6 linked regions of the Zea mays genome follow. The protein of the gene in region 6 binds, or shares a complex with, the protein of the main gene of each other region. Links are inferred from orthologs where the notes say so. Each region holds a gene or a part of one and is shown on either strand. Other genes may lie near its edges.

Region 1 (2,686 bases), on a different chromosome or scaffold from region 6:
CTCGAACATTATCCAAAACGACAAATAATATAACACCGGAGGGAGTATCTATTTGCTTGTCGCTATCTATTCTTATTTCCGCCACATTTTCTATCAACGTAGGAAATAGAGTGAATCAGAGCTAGTGTATGATATTATCTTCAACGGTTTATTAATAACAAAATAAAATTACTTACTTTTCTTTTGTCTAGATTAAGCCAATAATATTATAGTCATTTTGTTTTATTTTATAGAAATTAGCTTGAATTATATGTTGGTGCTAATTGTTTGTAATGGCATGAGATTTTACAAATATTCTATTCCACCCATATGGCCGTATGTCACGACATGTTTTATATATCATGCAACACATGGACACTCAATTAGTTCAGTCGCATGGAAAAATTGGTTGTATAAAACTATGACTCGGAAATTGGATCACCTAGCAACAGGAGGCTAGTTTGATCAAACAGTATGCGGTATCAGGTTATCAGCAGACGACTCAAGCTGTAGTCAAGCATCAGCGTATACTCCTAGTGAGAAATATCCATTTCCTCGAACCAGGATCATTTGCTTGTTTGATCAATACCATCCTACCCTAGAGTGCATTGCAGAAAGCACATTGTATTTGGGGGCCCATGATCAACAAGACCCTATCTCGTGAAGTAGTAGTAATTGTACATTTTCCATTCCGAACATTAACCGAACACCTGGAGAGCAATGCGAACAGACAGAGTCTCGATTCCATTCAAGAGGGCAAATGTAAACTGGACCGGTGACCACGCACCGGGTGAGGAAGACGGGGAGCCATCAATCAGTTGTCCCCCTCGGGCTCGAACTCCGGGTCGCCGTCTGGGTGCATCTCCCTCCACTGGTCCTCGGGCCAGTACTCCTTGATGTGGCCCCACTTCTTGCGGAACTTCTCGATCTGGCTGTCCATGACCACGAGCGCCGAGGTGTCGCCGACATAGTAGGGGTGGTTTCCGGACCACACGTCCACCGTGTACTCCGGCTTGGTGCCCCCCGTCACCAGCACCAGCTCGCCGTTGCAGTACACCTTCGCGTCCTCGTAGATCTCCGGGTGCAACCCCTTCTTGCGCATCGAGCAGCGCATCCCCTGCACCGCGCCGTCCAGGTTCCGGACTCAGGAATTAGCGGCGGCGACGACGAAGATCCGTGCAGGAATGGCGAGAGGGAGGGCCGGTGTGTACGAACGTGCGTACCTGGGAGGGGACGACGGAGCGTAGGGTGCGGGCGGTGGTCCTCGCGGCGGCGGGGATGGGGAGGAAAGAGGTGGAGAGGGAGAGCGTCATGGCGGACGATGGCCTTGCCTCGCGACAGTCGCTTCGGCTGCCTATGTTCTTTCCTTCCTCTTATCTATCGCCTTGCTAATGTTATCCTCTGGCGCTCGTCGATTCTCTCTTTAGGTAGCGTTGTCTAGGCTTGTTTGGGCTCTATATGTTCATTAAAGTCTGTCTGTGGTTTGTTTTGGGCTACGTGGAAATGCGACGGCCCACGAAAAATCCAGTGCCCAATTTCTCCTTCAGTTATTTCCAGTTGGCGGCCAGCTATACTAAAGAGGTATAGCTATGCGGTTTTTTATTTATCGAAACATTTCGGATCAAAATTCTCTTTCATAGATGTAACGTCGAAGAAAGTACACCACCAGAAATGAAAGTGTTGGTAGATGGTTGGTTGAATTAGTGGGCCAAAAGAAGAGAAAGTTGCATGCCGTGTAGAGTCTGACTTAAATATAATTAAGGAATGATATGCAAACTACAATTACAGTTGTTACGGTTTTCTTAAGAGTATAAAATTAAATAATTTAGAGCAACTCTATTAGAGCAACTCTAGTAGTTCTCCAAAAGATTCCTTAAATCAATAAATAATTTAGGTAGCTAAACTAAAAACTCATCTCCAACAACTCTCTTAAATGAATTTTCTAAATTTAGCTACTTCTCATCTAATCTCAATTTCTCCCTACATTTAGCAACCATTTATCAACTTCCTAAACAAAAAACTGACGATAACTTTTGTATTTTGGTGTTTTTTCACTTTGTAGTAGAGATATATTAACAGAGCACATTCGTCGGACGCCGACGATGTAAAATTGTGGCAGGTAGTCAACTAGAGATTAACCAATTGCCAATGCAATAGCCGCACGTGCACATGTTAGAAATAAACGAATAAACAATTGTGATAGTAAATAAAAAAGCCAACATAACTCACCAATTAAATGTGTCATCACTAATGGTCCTACTCAAACTAGCGTCATGTTAATTAAAATTTAACATATTTAGAAAGTAATAGATAGAGAAATGTTGGATGAGATGATTTTTTCCCCTATATTATATGAGAACTTGCTATATCTAGGATTTAGGTATTATTATTATACATAACTATTGTAGTTGCTCTTACTAAATACTATACTCTTCTATCACCTTTTGGTATATCATTATTCGTACGTCATGCTGCCCTAAGTATTCATATATTTTAACTTTGGTTTGTTTGGCTATCTCTATTCATTATGCCTTGTTGATAATAGATCTAGCTAAGTATTCATATATTTTAACTTTGATAGGTGCAATTTTATATTTGTTATTTATCGATTAACTACATCTACAAAGATTTATTCCATGTTGTATGAGTATAACAATGTTTGTCGATCATAATTACGATGTTCTGCTGCAATTCATACTAAACTATG
Region 2 (4,300 bases), on a different chromosome or scaffold from region 6:
TGGAGGCCACAAGGTGCAAAATCTCTATCACAGTGGGCAAATTAATCAACAACCGAAGGAAACTACTTGACATGTCTAGCTCCGAAACCTGTGAAAAAAAATGGTCCACATCTGGAGTGTCGCAAGCAAGTAGAGCTTTGCCCAGACAGATTGAGTTTTGCCCAGCACTCCAGCATCCATGCCTTAAAAGGTTATAGTTAGAAAGGGGGAGGATTGCTAAGCCCTTGCCAGTTAGCCACATAGAGAGAAGGCCTTATTATTAGATCATGCCATTTCTTTTCTTACAAAATTAACAAAGTGCAAAGCATTACTATGGCCACGAGGAACAGATAGCTACGAAATGAAACTGTCGCAATTATCATGGAAAAAAGCCACACATTTCCTTATCCATTTTGTTTGGTAGCGCCACATAGAAACAAAACTTCATGTCACGATTTGCATAGTTATCTCAACACATGTGGCGAATAGAAAAGGAGAAAGAGAAAAATAAACACAAGATTCTTAACCATAATAAGATATAATTTGTGTCGGGCATTTGCATAGTCACATGCTTATCCCATGGGGAACGTTAAAGGTTTGCTTGCACGGCAGGACCATTCCTGATTCCCTAGATGGTAGTTAGATGACGGCGATAGGAGCCGAGGCCCAACTGCCCAGTGATGTATTGGCCGTGTTGTTTATGTGATCTGTCATGGATGTCCTACTATGATTCAAGGATTTAGGACATGCGCAGAACTGCCAGCAATGAAAAGTCGAAGAAAGAGATATTGACTTCGAGGGGGAGAAATGTAGTCCACTATGAGAAAAGAGATACCCAATGTCTCTGGAGAAAAAGATCTGAGGTAAACACGTCTAACTTGCAACCATGATTTGCAATAGAGAAATCCGATTGACATCCCACCCTTTCTCGGTGCAGGATGGGACCTGCAGCAGCAAAAGCGCAAAGCTTCGATGTCACCGCCATCCACCTACCCTCCATCGCCCAAACTGTCTCTGTCTCTGTAACGCGAATTTTATTTTACACAACAGCAAAGTGAAAAACTGGAGTAGGGGGTTCGCTTGCCTCAGCAACCGTCGCGTAGCTTGCGCGCCTCGGCGCTGGAACGGGGAATCTGGAGGCGGGCACGCATCTCCCAAGCAATCTCGCGTGGCCTCGCGTAGCGTGCGAGGAGACACGCAGAGAGGGAGGGAGAGAGAAAGAGAGCCTTGACCCCGCCGTCCTCGTCCTGTCGTCCTGATAGCTGATGCAGTGATGCTGATCAGCTGATGCGTGCGGAGCTCGCTCGTGGAGCCGAGGCCCTAGCCTGTAGCCTCTCACGGCGGTAGAACGAGCACCCATGGGCCTCACTGGATCACCTAAGCGTCTTCCAGGCCCATCTGTGCCTCACCTGAGGCCTGTCTCATTTAGTGACGAGGCCCAACCCACCAGCGTCAGAATACAAGAGCGCGTTATCCTCTCTCTTCCGGTTCCGGGCAACTCGAAGAAGCCGCGTGCGTTATCCTTTGAGCAGTTTGGGCGCTGAGCAAGTCCAGTGAGAGAGGGAGAGCGGCGAGAGGATGGCTGGGATGGCATCGCTGCAGGGCGCCATGGCGTCGCTCTCCATCTCCGCGCTAGGCGCGGCGACGGCGAGCAGCAGCAGCTTCTGGGGCAACCGGCTCGCCACCTACTCCGCGCCGCAGCCTGGGGTCTGTTCCTGCTTCCCAATTCCGTTCCGTTCTGCTGATGGTTTGGTAGATAATAAGTAGCTGTTCTGGTGAAAGATTTTACTCTGGAGTTTCTGGATAGCGTTGCAAAGCGCGGTCGGATGGAATTGTTCTAGGGACATTCGAGCTTGCATTACGGTTTTGGAGCTAGTCTGTATGGATTGGATGCAATGAAATGGAAAATTACCTTTGCATTGTTATTAATTGTGCATTTTCAAGGATGACAAACCAGGCTTCTAATATGACTATGTTTAGGGGTGTTTGACATCACTCTAGAGCAAAACTTTAAGGAAGACCTGGACAAAGTCAACTAAACACCCTAATTCTAGAGTTGCAAACTCTATAGAGTTTTGAGAGTTGTAGTATAATTTTTTGGAGTACATTTTTTGCTACTTTGAAAAATCCTTCAAAAACAATCAAGACACATCCAATGCACTGGTTATGAGAAAGCAATCTACACTTCGGAGCAGATATACTTCACCCAAAGTTTTGGAGTAGAACTATGCCAAACTCGCCCTTATTAGATTTCATATTACATTAAGTTTCTATTTGCTCCACGACACACACTAAATTTAGACCGTGTCCATATTGAATTTCGTCTACCTTCTTTTTTTATTTTTATCTTGCATGGAAGCTTAAATGGTAAGATTTGAGTGCGCCAAATAGATTAACTGATTGGGATTAATTTAAGTAAGAGAATTTCCTTTGTCATTGGTAATCCGGTATTGTCCTTTTTGCATATACAACTATGCACATGTTTGCCTTTTAGTGCTAATAGAGAGTATGCTGTGTTTCATGTGGTAAAATTTGTTCGAGTACTCTTTATTTAGTTTGTTAACTGAGGAAATTATGTTGCTTTTGAAGCGGTCAAAATGTCAACTGAAGAAATTATGTTGCCCTCAATGTGCCACTGATTTTGTTTATATATATTTATGCCTGAATTACCCCACATCACACAATACATATGACTAACTGGAAACAAAATTTGGCGCCAAATAGTGTATTATGAGCATAATGATGTTTGTATTTGAACCCTGCTTTCTTTTCTGTGTCATCTTTATTATGCCTTACCTGTATGTACTTGTGCCTGGAAAATTCCCAACTGATAAGAATCGGATGAGGATAAACCTTTCTGTTAAGAAGCAAAAGCAAGTAAAGAATAGATAGTGAGGTCAAGTAATCACTGTTGAAGGAAGTGATAGAACCACTGTATTTTAAGGGATATCGTATTACTCAAACATAAAGAGGAGCCCTGGATCCTGTAGTGTCTTGATCAGATCAACATGAATCGTAACCACTGTGTTTGAGTCATGCCATATCTCAGAAGCATCTGATTAGTGTCTCTTTGATTTGAAATGGAATCTTATGTCTTTAGGATGTGAAGTTCTGACAAGCTGTTTAATATGTTCAATATGCAGGTAAGGTTTATGGTCAAGATATGCCCAATTGAAATGAGAGTGAGTAAAAAAAATCTTTAGTCCAAATATTTGATACCTTTTTTATCCAATAATGTGAAATGTCCTAAAACTTCACTTTCCACTGCAGCTTAAGAGATGGGAGCGAAAGAAGTGTAAACCAAACAGTCTTCCTGTGCTGCACAAGATGCATGTTAGGATCGGGGACACGGTACAGGTTATTGCAGGCCGTGAGAAAGGAAAGGTTGGAGAAGTCACACGCCTTTTCAAGCACAACAGCACGGTGATCGTGAAGGACCTGAACTTGAAGTCGAAGCACAAGAAAGGCACAGACGATGAACCCGGTGAAATCGTCATGGTCAGCAAAATTTCTATTGAACTTGTTTTTTGGGCCTCTCATGATGCTTTGCACATATTGGTTTCAAGAGCATATCTGTAGTTTTAGTAGGTGCCTAATCGTTCTCTTGATCAGACTTAAATTTTCTTTGATCAGATTGAAGGCCCCATTCATAGCTCAAATGTGATGCTCTACTCTAAGGAGAAGAGTGTGGTAAGCAGGGTTGGCCACAAATTCCTGGAGGACGGGACCAAGGTCCGATACCTGGTCAAGACCGGTGAAGTAATCGACAGTGTTGAGAAGTGGGTAAAGGTTTTTAAGGAAGGAAATTCGGAGTAACAGTTTTAGCATGAAAACCTGCAAAATGCTCTGAACGCTGACTGCGTCTTGCATGTTGAATTGAGCCTGTTTATCCCTCTATGTTGTTATTTACGCCAGTTTTTCCCCCTGTAAATTATACAGTTGTCACCAAATCTTGCAACGCAAGTCAATGCGCATCAGCATATGCTGATCTTGTTCCGCTTCACCAGTCAGAGTTTTGGATGAAAAACTATGAGGGCATGTTCGGTTACAGTAATCCAGAGGGGGATTGGAGGGGATTAAATCCCCTCCTAGTCATTTTTGACTAGGAGAGGATTTAATCCCCTCCAATCCCCCTCTGGATTGGTGTAACCGAACAAGCCCTGAACGGGCTTGTATGTGCGGGCAGCCCGTGTTCGTTTGCAGCTCTGGACCCACTACTCTCGGTCTCGTCCTCACTTCCTCAGAAATATCCACATATATCATTTCCTATATTACAAAGGCATATTACAAAGGCGAAGTAACCTGTGCACATGAAGCAATA
Region 3 (3,550 bases), on a different chromosome or scaffold from region 6:
ATAGAGGTCGATGCTTGTGTTGTGTCATTGTTTCGGGAGATGAAATAGAATGTACAAGGGAAATGTATTACTTGCAGAGCATCTCATTTCACCAATCAAAGGTTGTGTAGAATTGTGCATAATCTGGTTTAAAATAGATGGTCGTACTATTAAGATAGTCAACATTGTTTCCATATCTGTCATCTAGAGCCACTTGAGTGATCTAACTTTGCATATGTTGCTAGGATCAAGTGGTGGATAAAGTTTGAGATAAAAAACCTTTGAAAATGCTAACTAAGTCTTAAAGGTGTTGATCATCACGTGGGAAATCATTTGGAGTTAACTTTCTTTGTAAAAAAAGGTTTTCGATATTCTCCTAACCAAGGGTTGTGTCTTTGGATTTGAATTCTGGATTAGTCCATTTTGTTCTGAATCAATTATTAAAGTGGCTATCGTAGCCCTTTAAATAAAATTTCCGAAATGTCTAATATCATCGAAGTCAGAGTTTGGATGAAGAAGTTATGAACATTTTTAGTTGAGCCGGTGTGTCTTGCTCAGTAATAAGCATATGCTAAAAGCAAGAGAAGAGTACATCGCAAAGAAATTCTATGCAGAGCCGCTATCAGATTCACCAGCACCAGCTTTTTTCTTGGCAAAGTACTCTTCTGCTCGGGCTTGGTTCTTTAGATAATTTTGTGGAAGCCATTTCTTTCGTTTAGGTAACAGAGTTAGGGAACAACCAGCTGCCTCAAGCTTCTCTTTAGCTGAAGCTGAAAACGCTCCAGCCTTGATATTCAACTTAACTGATACATCCCCATCTCCTAAGATCTACAAACAGGTGAACAACAAGTGATCATGAAGGTAAGACAAAATATGATTGCAAAAACTAACAGGTGGCACATGCCACTTCATGTTTATGTTAGCAGATATGGAAGTTTGTAGTTACTCTAGAATATATTGTAAATCCAATGAACAACCTATGGGAACATTGCCAAATTGTACAAACAAAGCTATTCAACACTTCAAGTGGTGCTCATCTAACAGAAACAACCAAAAAAACTCGATCCCGTATTGCATGTTCTAATAGATGACTCTAACTCAAGTGGATAAACTTGGTACCTAACATTATCACAGGCTAATTCAGAATCGATACAACAACCTATAAGAAGTAAAAAAGTAAGAATACTGGCCACTCAATCTAACGACAAATCACTAAACACTTCGATTCTTGCTTCAAATCTGGGGTACAATAAGGTTGCCTTAAAGAGAACATGTCCTCACTGGCCAAGACCTAAGCCAAACCCTTGAATATGAAGTCATTCATATTTTCGAACGTGTCAAGTTCTATGTCACAAATACCAGTCCACAAAACAAGTTTTATTGAAACAACCAAAGGTTAATCATCAAAAGATTTACCTTCAGCGGCAGCTTCCTTTCCCTGCCTGATGGATTGATCAGACCCCGTGATTTCAGGCTTTCCAGTGATATTTCGTCACCATCTTTGAATCCGCCGCGCACTATGTCTTTTAAATTGAATGGCACATACTTCGGCAGGCCAATGTGCATCCCTGAAAAGCCATGGTGGAACTCACATCAGGCAACTTCTCAATCACTTGCATTTCTGCATTCCTTGTAACCTTGATGGGCTCTCACGAGTAACAACACAATGCATAGTTCAATTAGTTATGCGCCAGCCTGGTGTGAATTTAATCACGGATGGGCAATGCCGAAGTGGGGGTGTGAGACAAGCATCTGTCTGAACTAGAGCTTAGCGAGTTGCTTCGATTGAGTGCATTAGGGGAAGCTTCGGTTTAACTGAAGCAACTCACCGCCGGCAATGCCCCGTAGCTTGGGGAGACGGCGGTAGAGCGGCATCTGCCCTCCCTCGAACCCGCGCCGGACGCCGGGCCCCGAGCGCGATTTCTGCCCGCGCATACCGAACCCGCAGCTCGCGCCCTGGCCTGCAGCAATACCGCGTCCCTTACGCTTGGGCCGCCGGCGGGACCCCTTCTGGGGCCCCAAATTGTCGAGCCGGAACTTCTCCACTGGCGCTGCGGCGTCCGAGGCCTCGGCTGCCGCCGCGGCGCTGCTGCAGACGACGGTGACGCGACGGGGCGGGAGCGCGCGGAGCGGGAGGGCGCGGGGCGCGGCCCAGCGGCCGGCTAGGATTCCGGGACCAACGACGGAGGAGGAGGTGAAAGCCGGGATGTGGAGGAAGATGGCGGTGGGAGCGAGGGAGAGGAGGGTGATGGAAGCCATGACTGCCGTTGGAAGGGCTTGCGAATTGCGATTGTGGATAGAAGCGGATAATTGGGGTTTGGGAACGAGATAAGATGGAGACGATGGGCCTCTTCCACTCTTTATTTGGGCCTGTTTTTCAAACAGCCGTGGCCCATTCATGTCAATAATAATAATATACTCGAAAGTTGTATATAAAGAAGAAAAAATCGGTATTTTTCTGAATAGAAGATAGAACTATATCAAAACTTTGATACATTATATTCTCTAACGCTTAGACAAACATAGTTAGCAACTAAAATAATTGAGTAAGGGATAGAACCATACCTTTTTCACATCTTTTCAAAAAGATTTGCAATATGCACAAACTTAAGCAAAAAACTCTGTCCGGCAACCAAACACATCCTTAATTGCTAGAATGTGGGTAGAATAAGTTATTCAAGCAATGTTCAAAAAAGCGCGATTAAGCGCCCGCCTAATCACGATTAGACGCTAAGCGGCATGTTAGCGCTGCGCTTAGGCCCTAGGCGGTGGTTTCCGCGGTGGGCGCGTGTAGGCGGCGCGTGATTTGCGCTATGCGCGCTGAGGCGGAAAGGAGGCGTGTGGAAGCGGGGTTCGGCGCGCGGGGAAAAGGTGAGCACGGAAGCTGCTGCGCGGGAATAGAAAAAAGCTGCTGCGCGGGAATAGAAAGTGAATAGGAGGGAAAGAGGTGGGAGCTGCTGTTGCCCGGGAGAGAGTGAAACAGGCTGGGAGCTGCAGCTGCTGTTGCATGGAAGAGGAGGAAAACAGGGCCGCTGCCAGACTGGTCCTCTTCCCCAGCTGTCCAGGGCCGCCACCGTCGGTTCCTCTTCTCCTTCTGGTCAAGTCGTCCAGGCCACCGGGGTCAGCGCCTCTCTGCTCCTTTTCCCTAGCTATCCAGGCGTGCTCTCCCTCTCCCTCTGCTCTTGCTCTGCTCCTCCATCTCTTCTGTTCTATACTTTTATTCATTATTCCAGGTAAGTACCCCTAATTCCTAGCTAAAACTGTTTTTTCTGTGCAAATATATATATTATATTGTATATTCCTACAAACGCTTAAGCACGATTAATCTACGCCTAAGCTCTCTAGGCGCTAAACAGTGGCCTAACGCCCGCCTAACGCCTAGCGCTTATTGTAACCTTGTATTCAAGTACTTGATGCAGAATTTGAGGGGAGCACACATATCTTGTGTTATTTGAGACTAATGTTTTCTTTAGTGATCTTACATAATCTCAAGGTGGATAGGAGGATTGAGCAAGCTACAAGGGTGTAATTGAGACTTGTCACCTTCATGGTTCACAAAAATGGGTACCTT
Region 4 (4,249 bases), on a different chromosome or scaffold from region 6:
TGCTGAAAAATAGGTTTTGTATTGTCTCTTTTTCTTAACTAAAGGGTAATGAGGTAACACCGCGCTGAAAAAAAAATCATTACATTGAGCATATAGGTTTTGTACTATACTTCCCTGTTCTGGACTTCTGGTGGTATAAAGTATAAACTACCTAGTTGTTTATGGCAGCCGTTACATTTTCACGTACTCCTTTATTAAAAGGGAAAATTACAAATTAAGTTTCTTAAAATCTGAACGCCTTTCTCTTCACGCCTGCATTTTAAATTATCCAGCCTGCGGCCGTGGCTTCACGCGTGTTGGCTGATGTATCTCTGAATATTACTGTTCACCGATCGCTGTTGAACGACTTATCACTTTACCTGTTCTTTCACGCACTTCGAAACTGGCGCAGCGGAGCGCCCCGTCCGGTCTAGTGTAGTAAATAGTAATGGGAAGTTGAATGCAGATGCCTCTTTTATTGAAATCTGAACCAACCCAACTTAATCTTGTAGTAATGAACTATATTTTTGGTCACTGCATTACATTTCCGAGTATTCTTTAAAAGGGGAAATTACACTGTAGTAATGGGAGATTTGAATGCAGATGCATAACCTCTGTTGAAATTTGAGCCATCCTAACTGTGTTAGTTGTGTTCGAGAAAAATAAAAGGTTGGCTGAGTTCGAGAGGAAAAAATGTTGATTGATTTAGTTCATCAGACATTTTTGTGATTGGGTTATCTCTTGTATTCTGACCTAGATGTTGAATTCTTTCAGGTCCATTGTTAATGGCGCTGCGAAGTGGCTGAACGACAACCTGTAGGCTGTAAATATTTACTGCAGGATAGAAGATTGTCTTACATGGTGCTGTAGTCCAATCAAAGTTCTTAGATTCATTGGGGGTCCCCACGAGCTCGTATATTCGTTTTATTGGAGAGCTGCAAGATTTTCAGGCTGAGTGGCAACCGAGGGAGTGAAAGTTGTCAACTAATATCGTCGCGGCGTTGGTCCCTTGTCATTCTTGCCAAGCAATTATTTTTATGTAGTTGGAGTCCTTTTCAGTCTGGCAAGCGGCGTAGAAGTCTGAAGCTGTGGGATGCTGATCCCAAACCCCGGGACTAGACAAACACTGTACTTGAGGTTTTGGATTAATCAAATTCACCGATATCGAATTGCAAACTTATCCAACTTACAAGATGCGATGGAACTATTTATTAGAAATACGTTTCGGTGATATCGAATTCTCAGTTTCGAGAAAGGGCTATCACGCCGGCAGTTCACGCGGCTGGATCCGGGCACGGCGACCGCGCAGGCTCCCGCCATGGACGCAGCGCGACAGGCGAGAGAAGCTGTGAAACGGGCTCTACGGAGCCGTGACATTATCCATTCCAGATCGATTGGGCCGCCGCCGCCGCTTTCTCATTTCCGGGCCCAAACCATTATTTAGGCCTCTCGCGAAGTCAGTGGATGGATAAGAAAGGAAAGCGGTGCGAGCGGAGGAGGCGACCGAAGCGCCACTTGCTTGAGTAGCGAAGCGCGAGAGCAATGGCGTCGCTGTCGTGCGCCTCCACGCTGCCCTGGACCCCCGCCTCCTACCCGCGGCCCTCGGCGGGGCGCTGCCTCACGGCCTCTCGCCGGGCTCCGTCGCTGGTCATCGTCGCCCAGGGGAAGGTCAAGAAGTACCGCCAGGTCGGCCCGGGCTTTCCGCGTGTTCTTATGTTCGAGTTCTGTGCTGATTTCATCTTAGCAATCAGTTAATGCACGCGGGTTGCTGAGGGCATCATAACCTGCCGCGTTTTAGTTTTCTTCTCTAAAAAAATTGATGCACCGCCGTCGGTACGTTTGTATATTGTGATCAATAGATACAAATGAAGTTAGCTAGCTTAGCTGTCTCACTGGCAACAGGTAAGATATAGTGGCTCGCACAATTTAGATGCTCCAAGAGTTGTACTACTACTACTACTAACCAGGCTTTTAGGCAGGGGATTTAGATACTAGGGATGAAATACCTTTGATGGGAGCCTTGCCTCACTAGTTGGAGTTCAGTTCATAAGTCGTTCCTTTTGCTGTGTTTGCCTGATTGTACAAGAATGCAACAACGGTGCATCCAGTTAAATTGACAATGTGGTGCTTATCTTGTGTAGCTATTACCGCCACCCTTAGCATTACATGTGATTTTACCTTTCTCCATAAAAAAAACAATTCTTTCCCATAGGTCATATTGACAGACGACATAGAAGAGGTGGGGAAGAAAGGGGATACACTGAAGGTGCGAGCTGGATTCTACCGCAACTTCCTCCTTCCCAAGGGCAAGGCTACACTTCTGACCCCAGAAGTCCTCAAGTAATTGCTACCAGCTCTCGGTTATCCCTCACTTGCTTTGCTTTGTTAGTTATGTCATTTAATCCTCAAGTAATTGCAAAGTCCACACTCTGTCAAATGATTCAGTGGCTGCTGGCAACCGTATGACCTTCTCTGTGGTATGCTTAGTTTGACTCTGAGGTTTGGGACCTAGGCACCTAGCAAAACTAGATTGAGATATGAATCCAATCCATGCACCTTTCTAATAGAATTGCAATGGTCGACACACATACTGTTTGATTCGATGGGTAAGTAAGATTGCGAATGAATTTATTGCCTCTACTTCTCTTCGCAGGGAAATGCAGCTGGAGCAGGAGAGAATAGAAGCTGAGAAGAAGCGGGTAGGAAAAAATATTTTACTCAGTAATAAATGTAGTTGCAATTTAACCTCAGCGACCTTTTTCTTTGTCTGGAGAGTAAACTTCAATTGCAGTTTATCCTTACTTTCCTTATGAAAAGAAAATATAGTGCCTTTATGTCCTCCGTAATTTAAGTCCTAAGCATGATATGTTCATGAAATTCTATCAATGCATTTTTATCAGTTTTTGTTTATAATTATGGCCTTAAGAAGTCCTCTATTTACATAGGTAAAAGAAGACGCGCAACAACTTGCTCGAGTTTTTGAAACCATTGGCGCTTTCAAACTCCCTCGCAAAGGTGGAAAAGGAAAACAGATCTTTGGGAGGCAAGTTCTAAGTTGGACAATCCATTATTTATTCTCTCTTGTCTCAGGCTATCTCTTACAGCTTACCCATCTCCATCTCTCATTTCAAACTCTACTTTGTACACACTGCAATCTATAGTGTCACTATCTGCTGGGTATAGTCTTACTTTCACTTTTCTGACGATATCTTTTATTGTACAGTGTCACGGCACAGGATGTTGTTGACATAATAAAGTCACAACTTAATAGGCAAGTGCATATGCTCCTAACTCCTAGGCAATCTTAATAGCGTTTCTCATCATTATATTGCTTCTCTTACTGCTGGCACGCTGTGTCTTGTAGGGATGTCGACAAGAAGCTGGTGACGGTTCCAGAAATCCGTGAAATCGGAGAGTATGTTGCAGAGATCAAGCTTCACCCAGACGTGACAGCGCGAGTAAGGCTGAATGTCTATGCGAAATGAGCTCAGCAGTTACAGAACCTCGAGTAATGGACTTTGGAGAAGCCTGATGTTTGCCAGGCGAGCTCATTTGCCGTTGTTCTTTCCTTGAGATTTGGCTCTTAGAATTCCGCTGGTCTTGCTCTTACACAGTTGCTTTTGTTTAGTGCAGAGATTTTGCTGCAAGTGCCAGGTGCTGCGGTAGACATGAGGCCTGGTCTGGCCGTGACTTGCCTGGTTTTGATACACAATTCACTGGCTCACTGCGCATCCTATTCCCTACCGTGTGAAGTCAAGTTTTCAACAATTATATCTGTTGATTTTGAGGCGGAAAATATAAATTGTTGTAAAGAACAATTTGTTTGAACTGTAGAGCACTACTTCGCCAAAAACGACCCTTCTTTCTTGTCCTCTAACCTTCCCCACCTCTACGTCTGCATCCACTACAAAAAAAAGGCAAGAAATTTGCTAAGTATGGGGCTCCATAGAGCGTTATTCAGATTGGAACACCAACGTACTTGACACATGAACTGCGTTTCTTTTAGCCAAAGTCTGGGCGTCACCAGCGATCTGATACAGATTCACGCAAACCAACTGTATTCATCTCAACATCCACGTTCTACAAAAATGACAGTTTCACATCGTTGTCTAAAAATGCAATGACTCCCGAATACCAGTACAACTCCTCGCTTCACCCTTTACAAAAATCCTTCTGCTTCTGCTAAATGAACTAGCATCATAACTGAACAGCCAGCATTGCAGGCAAGGGGGCATTGCACAGAGCTAGAAATAGCCTTTCCGCTTACGCC
Region 5 (3,427 bases), on a different chromosome or scaffold from region 6:
TATGACATTGCATAACTTCATTAGAGACAGTGCTCTACACGATAGAGACTTTGATGAACTAGGACCTAATAGCCTTGGTCATGATGTATCTGTAGGTGAGAGTAGTAGTATCACATCTGATGAGTTAGACATGAGTGCATTTCGAGATGCAATTGCTAATGCATTAGTGCCGTAGTTAAATATGTAAATGTAACAGTAGTTATGTTGTAATGAACTCCACTAATTATATGTAATGACCTTTTGTTGGTTCGGTGTTAATGTGTATAGTTTCTTCAAACAGAATCTGCAATCTGAGAATCTGTGTATCCAAACACCTAGATTCTAACGAACAGCTTTTCCGCACAGCTGGCGAACCAAACACCTAAATTCTAACCACCAGCTTTTCAGAAAAGCTATTCAGAAAAAAGCCGAACCAAACACGCCCTACGTGGAGTGGTCTAGGAAGTTGGAATAGACCCCCACTGTGACTCTAAAGCACAACTACCCCACAAAAAGTACAAGTAGAACATATCCATTTATCTAAACAACACATGTAAATATGACCTTTATAGATCATGTGGTCTTACAATTAAGGAAGAAAAAGTGTAACAAGGGCTGTGAAAAAGAGAAACACCACACAGGAAACTTATCAGCAGTCCGCGCTGACCTCAGAGTTTTCATCAACAGCAGCTAGTACCAACTGAGGCTCAGCGGCGCCCTCCGCTCTCGCCTTCTTCCGTTCACGCCGCATGCGGAAGTACTCTCTCTTCCTTGCTCTGTAACTGTTTGGGTTTTCAGGCTCCTTCTCATATGGGTAAACACTAACCTATGAAAGGAGAGGTAGTGAGATGAGCATATATCTGGTGTGCAACCAGATCTCAGTCAGATGCAAGTAAAAGCAGATTTCAGTATGTAGTAACTAAGATACAGCTAACCTTTTTCTTGTCCGGCCCATACTTCTCAAACTTGACGAGTCCATCTATCAAAGAAAAGAGTGTGTGATCCTTGCCCATTCCAACGTTATTTCCAGGATAGACCTGAAATGTCCAAAAGATTTTATTTTAAGAAAAAACTTAAAAACGGCAAGGAACAGACAGACCACAAAACGGGGACCAAAACGAACTCTATACAAGGGACACGATGGTATAAACCATGTAGTATCCATAATATATAAACATCTTAAATATTTGAAGCGCGCTGGTAAGTAGGACGGACCAACCAAATCGTAAGACATGTAAGTTCATGAAATATCTTTTACAAGGATTGACCGACCATCTTACAGTATGCCTAATATTGAACAGCTATGTCTGACCATGTGTGCAGAGTAAGGTGGGTGTTTAGTTCAAAATTTGTTGGATTATATAACCTGGGCAGATTATAATCCCAAACAAACACCCCCCTAAGTCACCACCAGTTGGCTCCATAGGGCATTGAGGTTAGTACGTTACATTCCCCAGCGAGGTTTGTGTGTGCACTTTCCCCTCCCGTTATCTGATGTATGCAAGAAACTGCAATCTTTTCTTTCCTGCTTTTGCAGAGTGGTAAACTATGGAAAATGCAGATATGCACAATGGCAGCATACATTCCAACGTAACATGTGCAATGGCAAGCATTCTAGGTACATCGTAAGATTCTAGCATTCGCAGTCCGTAATCCGTATGAAGGTACTGGTCGGTGGTTAATATGCTTAACCTGCATCAGCAGCAGCAGCAGCAGGTGAGCAGCAAGCAAACGCTAGGCAGAGAGAGCTATGTCGCCCAGCAGAGCCAGTCAACGAGGTACCATAATCCACGCAAGCAAGAGCCTAGGCTGTCTTACTAACCCAAAGCAAACCAGTAACAGGTAAGGGAAGCGAAGGGAGCAAGAGGGGGGCAGGACCCTGGTGCCGCGCTGGCGGATGATGATGGCCCCGGGCTTGGCGAGCTGGTCGCCGTATATCTTGACCCCGAGGCGCTGGCCCTTGGAGTCGCGGCCGTTCTTGGTGCTCCCGGCCCCCTTCTTGTGCGCCATCTGGATGGTGAGCCGCCGCGCCGGCACCGGCACCGGCACGCCCGCTGCGCCGCCGACGGAGAGCGAGGCGCGGTCGCAGCGCGGGAAGGAGGAGGTGGTGGTGGTGGGCGCCAGGGAGAGGCCCTTGAAGGCCCCCGCCAGGGCGAACGCCATGGAGGCCATGGGCCGCTGGAGCGGAGGGAGGCAACGTGGCAGCTTGGGAAGAAGACGGGGGAAGAGAGCAGATGAGGCGGTGAGGTACAGAGGTGTGGGCGCTGGTGATAACGGAGTGGAGAAGGGATGCAGTCGGGAGACGTGGGCTCGTTCGTGGTTGGCCCAGTGTTTTGGGTCCTGGAGTTTTTGGGCCTTACTTGCAGATGGGCCTCGTGGTGCTTGCAGAGTGTCTGGCCGAATTGGAAGGGAGGGAAATGGTGTTATGCTCCTGGCCGGTTTTGGTCCTTGTAGTTTTAGGCAAGGCAACACAGGATTCACGAAGGAATCATTCAGGGGGAAAACAAAATGATCAGTGTGGTGGTGTTTGGTTCATGATATGTAACGTAAGTGGTAACGATAATGATTCACATTCAAGTACCAACGATAATAAGTCTGAATAGGCTCAGTTAGAGTTAAACAAACATGATATGTGAACCAAAAGGGCATCATCTTGTTCCTCCCTCCGGAGCTGCACAGAGAGACGCTGAATGGCCACAGCTAGCTAGCGTCGGCACGTGGGGAGATAGCCGGGGAAGCTAGCTAGAGTGACAGGCAGGCTTGTTGTGGAGCAAGAGCAAGAGCAAGAGAAGCAGTAGGCATGATGATGGGCTTGACCGGCGGCAACGGCAAAGCTGGAGCCGGAAGAAGAGGAGACGACCGACACATGGCATGATTAGGATCCTTGACGAAAGCGCGGGAGATGCAGAGCGTTTGGGGGTCCAAGTTAATCATGGCCCAGACCAGACCACACAAGCAAACAGGGCCCTACCACCACCACCACCACCCACTAATAATCTCGTGTTCTCCAGAGTCCAGACGCTCCATCCGCTCACTCGCTGCAGTTTGCACTGTTTACTCCTCCGTCTCCGTGTGCGTTAGATTTCCGGCGGCACTAGGGATGCCAGAAATTTCAAAGAGGCAGCAGCGCACGGCGCTCACAGGCTGCTGCTACTACTTGTACTAGCAGCAGTCACCGCACCGCACGCACCGTCAGCAGGGGGACGGAGAGATGACATTGACCGCCGGCGATCATTGCCTCGTCTGACGATTCGCCGGCGACACCCACACCCGCACCCCACCCCGGCCGGACCCGACCGACACAACGCATTTCCTCTATCTTTTTCCCACTCTTGTTTATTTGTGACAAATTATAGCGTGCTTGCGGTTGTAAAATGTTAGTCCATATCGATCTTTGCCACTGCACGGTGAATAGTTTGGAACTGAAAAGGACACGAAAAGGCCAAGC
Region 6 (4,239 bases):
CCCTAACCTACCGCACGATTCTCATTTAGATCCCCAAACTATGAAATTGCATATCTAGGTCCCTAAACTATTTAAGTATCCCATCCCGGTGCAAAACAGTCACATCACAGTTCATTAGCTAACATTGCACTCTAGCGTGGAACCGACATGCATGTCCATAACTCATAATTACAAGGATGATACCTAAACTATCATTGGATTCTTACAAAAGTCTCAAACTATAAAATTTGGATTAGGATTGTAGTACTTTAATAGGTTAGGGACCTAGATGAGTAGTTTTATAGTTTGGGACCTAGCTGAGAATCCTATGATAGTTTAGACAGCCCTTGTAACTATGAACTATGGACCCATATGTCAGCTTCACGCTGGAGTGCCACGTCAGTTGATGGACTGTGATGTGGTTATTTTGGATCAAGATATGATACTTATATAGTTTAGGGACCTAGATATGCAATTTCATAGCTTGGGACCCAAATGAGAATTACATAATAGTTTAGGGACCGCCAGTGTAGTTTACTCATATTATTACCACTGATAACGCTTCATATCTTCCAACATGTGTCTCATCTAGTTTCCTCGGCGATCAGTAAAACCAACTATTTCAACTTCCTGAACTCTTGCTATGCACAATTAAATTACAAACATGTGTTCAATAAAAACACCATGCCTGAACCTTGAATTATCGGAGTACAGGAAAGTAAATGCAACTGATAAAGGTAGGAAGTTACTTGTACATGAATCCTAGAAGTCAGTAAATACTACAAGGGCATGAAGTTTTAAATCTTGTCACAGTGCCCAGACTAAGCAATGAAGACAAACGATTTAGAATATCGATAAAAAAACTGAGGCAAACAAAATCTGTATTGACTTCCTCAATACCTGAGTAATATTTGAAGAAACAGTGCCAGCTTTGGGGTTAGGCATCAGTCCTCTTGGTCCTAGAATCTTACCTAAGCCCGCAACCTGAAAAGTAAACAGAAATAACTCAGGCTGATAATCATTTAAAGGGGAGCCCACATTGAAAGTTTCTACGAACATGTCAAATAATGCAACAAATATATACAGAACTTTGGACATTTAGTTTAGCATTAGTTATCAAAGAATGAAACATCTCACACATGTATTCTTGTATTCCGAAATTAGATTGGCATAGCCAATCTATTTTATCTATAGAAAACAAAAAAATTAACAGTTTACATGGTAAGACACTTAGGACCTATAGTAAGCACAACTAAATATTTCATTTCAAATTTTGTGGTAGTATCCAACAGTAAATTGAAATGAAGGCAGAACTGTTAATAGCTCATACCTTAGGCATCATATCAGGTGATGCAATCAATTTGTCAAACTCCATAAATCCTCCTTTTATTTGTTCAATCAAATCTTCTCCACCTACGATATCAGCTCCGGCAGCTCTAGCTTCATCTATCTTCTCACCTGTGAGGTCAGAAAATAACTATTAATGCATATAATGACCATGATTATTTCAACTACTGGTGCTACCATCTTTATGATAATGACAAGAAAAACATGACTATCTTTCACAAAGGATATGAAAGAGAAGTTTCAGTCATTCAACAAGGGTTTGCTAAGTGGACAGCACAAAAATAGCACCATCCCAACTCCCAAGTGACTTCTTGTAAAAAACAAAGAAGTAGAAACATCATGAACATAATAAACTGATTGTTAAATTCTTCTACCAAGATGCCAAAGATGAATTAACTTTGTCCAATCCAATATGTTGCATTTGAACTCTGAAAGAAGCCATGGTACTTTAAGAAGAAAAAAAATACAAAATTAACCAATCGGGTCATCAGCACACAATGTTTGCATAAAAATAAAGACAAGCGTGTTTCAGATTAAACCCATAGTCACACATGAGGCAAGGCAATAGTGTCAAACAGAACAATCACACATATGACCCACTAGCACAGTGAATTCAGTTTGTACTAACTATCGCTCAACAGGATTTCGTTGTGTTTCAATCACCGCCCACCTTGTGTGAGAACCGCAATCTTCACCGACTGGCCTGTTCCCTTGGGCAAATTCACCTGTGGTCACCACGACCAGCACAAATTAACGAACGCAACAGGGCACAAGCAACCAAAAAGAGAAGGCCAGAAAAGAAGAAACAATACCGTGGCCCGGAGCTGCTGGTCATTGTACTTGGGGTCGAGATTCATGCGGAAGTGCGCCTCCGCTGACTCAACAAACTTGGCACTGGACATCTGCTTCATCAACGAGATGGCGGTGGGCACGTCGTAGTCCTTCTTGCTCTCCCTCAGCTTCTGTATCTCGAGGAACCTCTTCGACCTCGTCTGCGCACCATCAAAACTAGCACAGCATCACCGGCCGTACACAAGCAAGCAAGCCACAGGAACCATATACGGAGGGTGGGGTATTCGGCGATATGCGTACGCGGTCGCGCTTAAGCAGTAGCGCGGCCTTGCCGGTGCGCGGGCGCGTGGGGGCCGTGAACGCGGGGCCGCGCCCGCCCTCATACCCGTCGTCGTCGTCGTACTGGCCCTGCTGGTCGACCTCCGCCTCCTCTTCGAGCACGGCCCCCTGCGGGTCGGCGATGGCGGCCGCGGCGGGGCGGCGGAACGCGAGGAGGAGCCGCGGGTACGCACGCAGCGACGGCACGGAGGAGGGGAACAGCAGCGCGTTTGACGAGGCCGGCGCCGTGCTGCTGGCCGCCGGCGCGAGGAGGGAGGAGGAGGCGGTGGCCGCGGCGGCTGTGGCCATGGTGGAGGCCGGGGAGGATGGCGCAGCAGATAAGAGGGAGTGGAGGGATAGAAAGAGAAGCCGAAGTGGCAGCGCGGGTTGGTTATAGCCGAAAGATCTCGGCCTGGGTGTTCATCGGATAGGGCTGGTCGTGGGCGGGCTCGCGGTCGCAGCCTCGCAGGGGCAGGGATGACGGGCGCCGCGCCTGGAAAACTCCTCCCCCCTGATTCCAGTGATTTTGGCTCAACCGAGACGCCCGGTCACCTGCCTGATCTTGGTTGGGAGTTGGGACGAGCGGGTGTACGAGTGTGCGATCGTGTCGTGTCCGCGCGGGCGACGGGTAAGGAGAAACACGGCGAGTTGGCTGGGCCGAGACGCGCGCAGGTGTTCGGAGCTCCTGATTTGGCTCAGCCCCGAGGACCGAGAGCCATGCGGATGCGCGCGAGGCAGCCGGACAGGTGTGTGGTCGCGGTTCGCGTGTGGGTTCGAGCGGCAGCGACGAGGGACGCATGTGTGGCTGTGGCTGCCAGCCTGCGACTGCGAACTGTTTGTGTGTGGCCCTTGACTCTACTCTATATCTATACTACTATATTATTTAGATTATCCACCAAACAAATTCAGATAGCTGGATAACTCTATCACCCTTACTCAAATTCAATGATGAACAATATTATCTAGATCATCTATCATTTGTCATGTCACCCTTCCCTTTCCCACAATCTGTCGCCTCCAACCTCTCCCTCCCTCGCGTCCCCGTCGCCCTCTCCCCTTCACTCGTGCCTCCACCGTCAATTCCTCCTATAGTTCTGAGGCCTATGTTGTAATACATTGGTAGTGTGACCATAACATGTGGTTTTCTCACTTTGTAATCAGACTTTAGGTTGTTTCAATGGCACACCACTCCACATACATACAATGAACTTTAGAAAGTGCAGGAGCTCCAACTTTTTCCCCTGCTGCCACCATGTAGAGGGAGAGAGAGAAAATTATCTCATATATCACTACACTTTTAATATAGAATTTTCTTTGTGCGTCGCCATGTGTCTCTCACGCGTGAGTAGGGGTGGTAATGGGCTATAAACTTTATACTGCAAATTTTAAGGATCGAATCGGATTAGGGTCGGGCTCTATTCTTATTCATTTTTGAACTAATATTATTTAAGGGCCTTAACTTTTGTGAAGAGGCATTTGGATCGTGATCCATTACCACCTCTACGCGTGAGCGCCCGTGTCCGTCCAACGCGGCAGGGCTCCTACCACTATGGCACACATCCATTTGTGGTACATAAAGGAGAGATTATATATATCTATACACTATAATTTAAAAAAAAAATATAATCATGTTTGAATATATATATATATAATTTAAGGAAATGCAACATATATGATATACAAAAACTGTAGCAATATTGAGAGCACCTAGAAAGGGGTGAATAGGTGATCCTGTAAAATTCAACACTAATAGCCACAAAACTTAGTTGTTAAAGTTAGAACGGCTAAGTAGCTTGAAACGAG

What was found.
Region 1: 50S ribosomal protein L1, chloroplastic-like (region 6) and 50S ribosomal protein L31-like share a complex: the UniProt entries of both Arabidopsis thaliana proteins name them as parts of the 50S ribosomal subunit. The link is inferred for Zea mays from reciprocal best matches to the Arabidopsis thaliana genes EMB3126 and emb2184.
Region 2: 50S ribosomal protein L1, chloroplastic-like (region 6) and 50S ribosomal protein L24, chloroplastic-like share a complex: the UniProt entries of both Arabidopsis thaliana proteins name them as parts of the 50S ribosomal subunit. The link is inferred for Zea mays from reciprocal best matches to the Arabidopsis thaliana genes EMB3126 and RPL24.
Region 3: 50S ribosomal protein L1, chloroplastic-like (region 6) and 50S ribosomal protein L15, chloroplastic-like precursor share a complex: the UniProt entries of both Arabidopsis thaliana proteins name them as parts of the 50S ribosomal subunit. The link is inferred for Zea mays from reciprocal best matches to the Arabidopsis thaliana genes EMB3126 and RPL15.
Region 4: 50S ribosomal protein L1, chloroplastic-like (region 6) and 50S ribosomal protein L9 share a complex: the UniProt entries of both Arabidopsis thaliana proteins name them as parts of the 50S ribosomal subunit. The link is inferred for Zea mays from reciprocal best matches to the Arabidopsis thaliana genes EMB3126 and RPL9.
Region 5: 50S ribosomal protein L1, chloroplastic-like (region 6) and 50S ribosomal protein L27, chloroplastic share a complex: the UniProt entries of both Arabidopsis thaliana proteins name them as parts of the 50S ribosomal subunit. The link is inferred for Zea mays from reciprocal best matches to the Arabidopsis thaliana genes EMB3126 and RPL27.

Annotation. Positions count from the first base shown.
Region 1 is NC_050098.1:221,940,097-221,942,782, reverse strand, and holds 50S ribosomal protein L31-like, read right to left. Parts: upstream 1,351-2,686; 5' UTR 1,293-1,350; coding exon 1,203-1,292; intron 1,097-1,202; coding exon 794-1,096; 3' UTR 501-793; downstream 1-500. UniProt on the Arabidopsis thaliana protein: Binds the 23S rRNA.
Region 2 is NC_050100.1:50,135,649-50,139,948, reverse strand, and holds 50S ribosomal protein L24, chloroplastic-like, read left to right. Parts: upstream 1-1,500; 5' UTR 1,501-1,557; coding exon 1,558-1,686; intron 1,687-3,122; coding exon 3,123-3,161; intron 3,162-3,249; coding exon 3,250-3,477; intron 3,478-3,612; coding exon 3,613-3,795; 3' UTR 3,796-3,981; downstream 3,982-4,300. UniProt on the Arabidopsis thaliana protein: One of two assembly initiator proteins, it binds directly to the 5'-end of the 23S rRNA, where it nucleates assembly of the 50S subunit. Required for optimal plastid performance in terms of photosynthesis and growth.
Region 3 is NC_050096.1:27,447,188-27,450,737, reverse strand, and holds 50S ribosomal protein L15, chloroplastic-like precursor, read right to left. Parts: upstream 2,240-3,550; 5' UTR 2,239-2,239; coding exon 1,809-2,238; intron 1,548-1,808; coding exon 1,396-1,547; intron 808-1,395; coding exon 586-807; 3' UTR 501-585; downstream 1-500.
Region 4 is NC_050100.1:222,785,531-222,789,779, reverse strand, and holds 50S ribosomal protein L9, read left to right. Parts: upstream 1-1,449; 5' UTR 1,450-1,521; coding exon 1,522-1,665; intron 1,666-2,191; coding exon 2,192-2,319; intron 2,320-2,632; coding exon 2,633-2,678; intron 2,679-2,924; coding exon 2,925-3,022; intron 3,023-3,202; coding exon 3,203-3,250; intron 3,251-3,343; coding exon 3,344-3,464; 3' UTR 3,465-3,521; intron 3,522-3,607; 3' UTR 3,608-3,832; downstream 3,833-4,249. Other genes in the region: Chaperone protein dnaJ A7A, chloroplastic, read left to right, coding at 754-799; methyltransferase WBSCR22, read right to left, coding at 4,224-4,249. UniProt on the Arabidopsis thaliana protein: Binds to the 23S rRNA.
Region 5 is NC_050103.1:167,360,501-167,363,927, forward strand, and holds 50S ribosomal protein L27, chloroplastic, read right to left. Parts: upstream 2,214-3,427; 5' UTR 2,152-2,213; coding exon 1,858-2,151; intron 1,017-1,857; coding exon 915-1,016; intron 806-914; coding exon 629-805; 3' UTR 501-628; downstream 1-500.
Region 6 is NC_050101.1:154,265,028-154,269,266, reverse strand, and holds the start of 50S ribosomal protein L1, chloroplastic-like, read right to left. Parts: upstream 2,801-4,239; 5' UTR 2,746-2,800; coding exon 2,419-2,745; intron 2,319-2,418; coding exon 2,139-2,318; intron 2,052-2,138; coding exon 1,997-2,051; intron 1,438-1,996; coding exon 1,310-1,437; intron 964-1,309; coding exon 880-963; intron 1-879. UniProt on the Arabidopsis thaliana protein: This protein binds directly to 23S ribosomal RNA.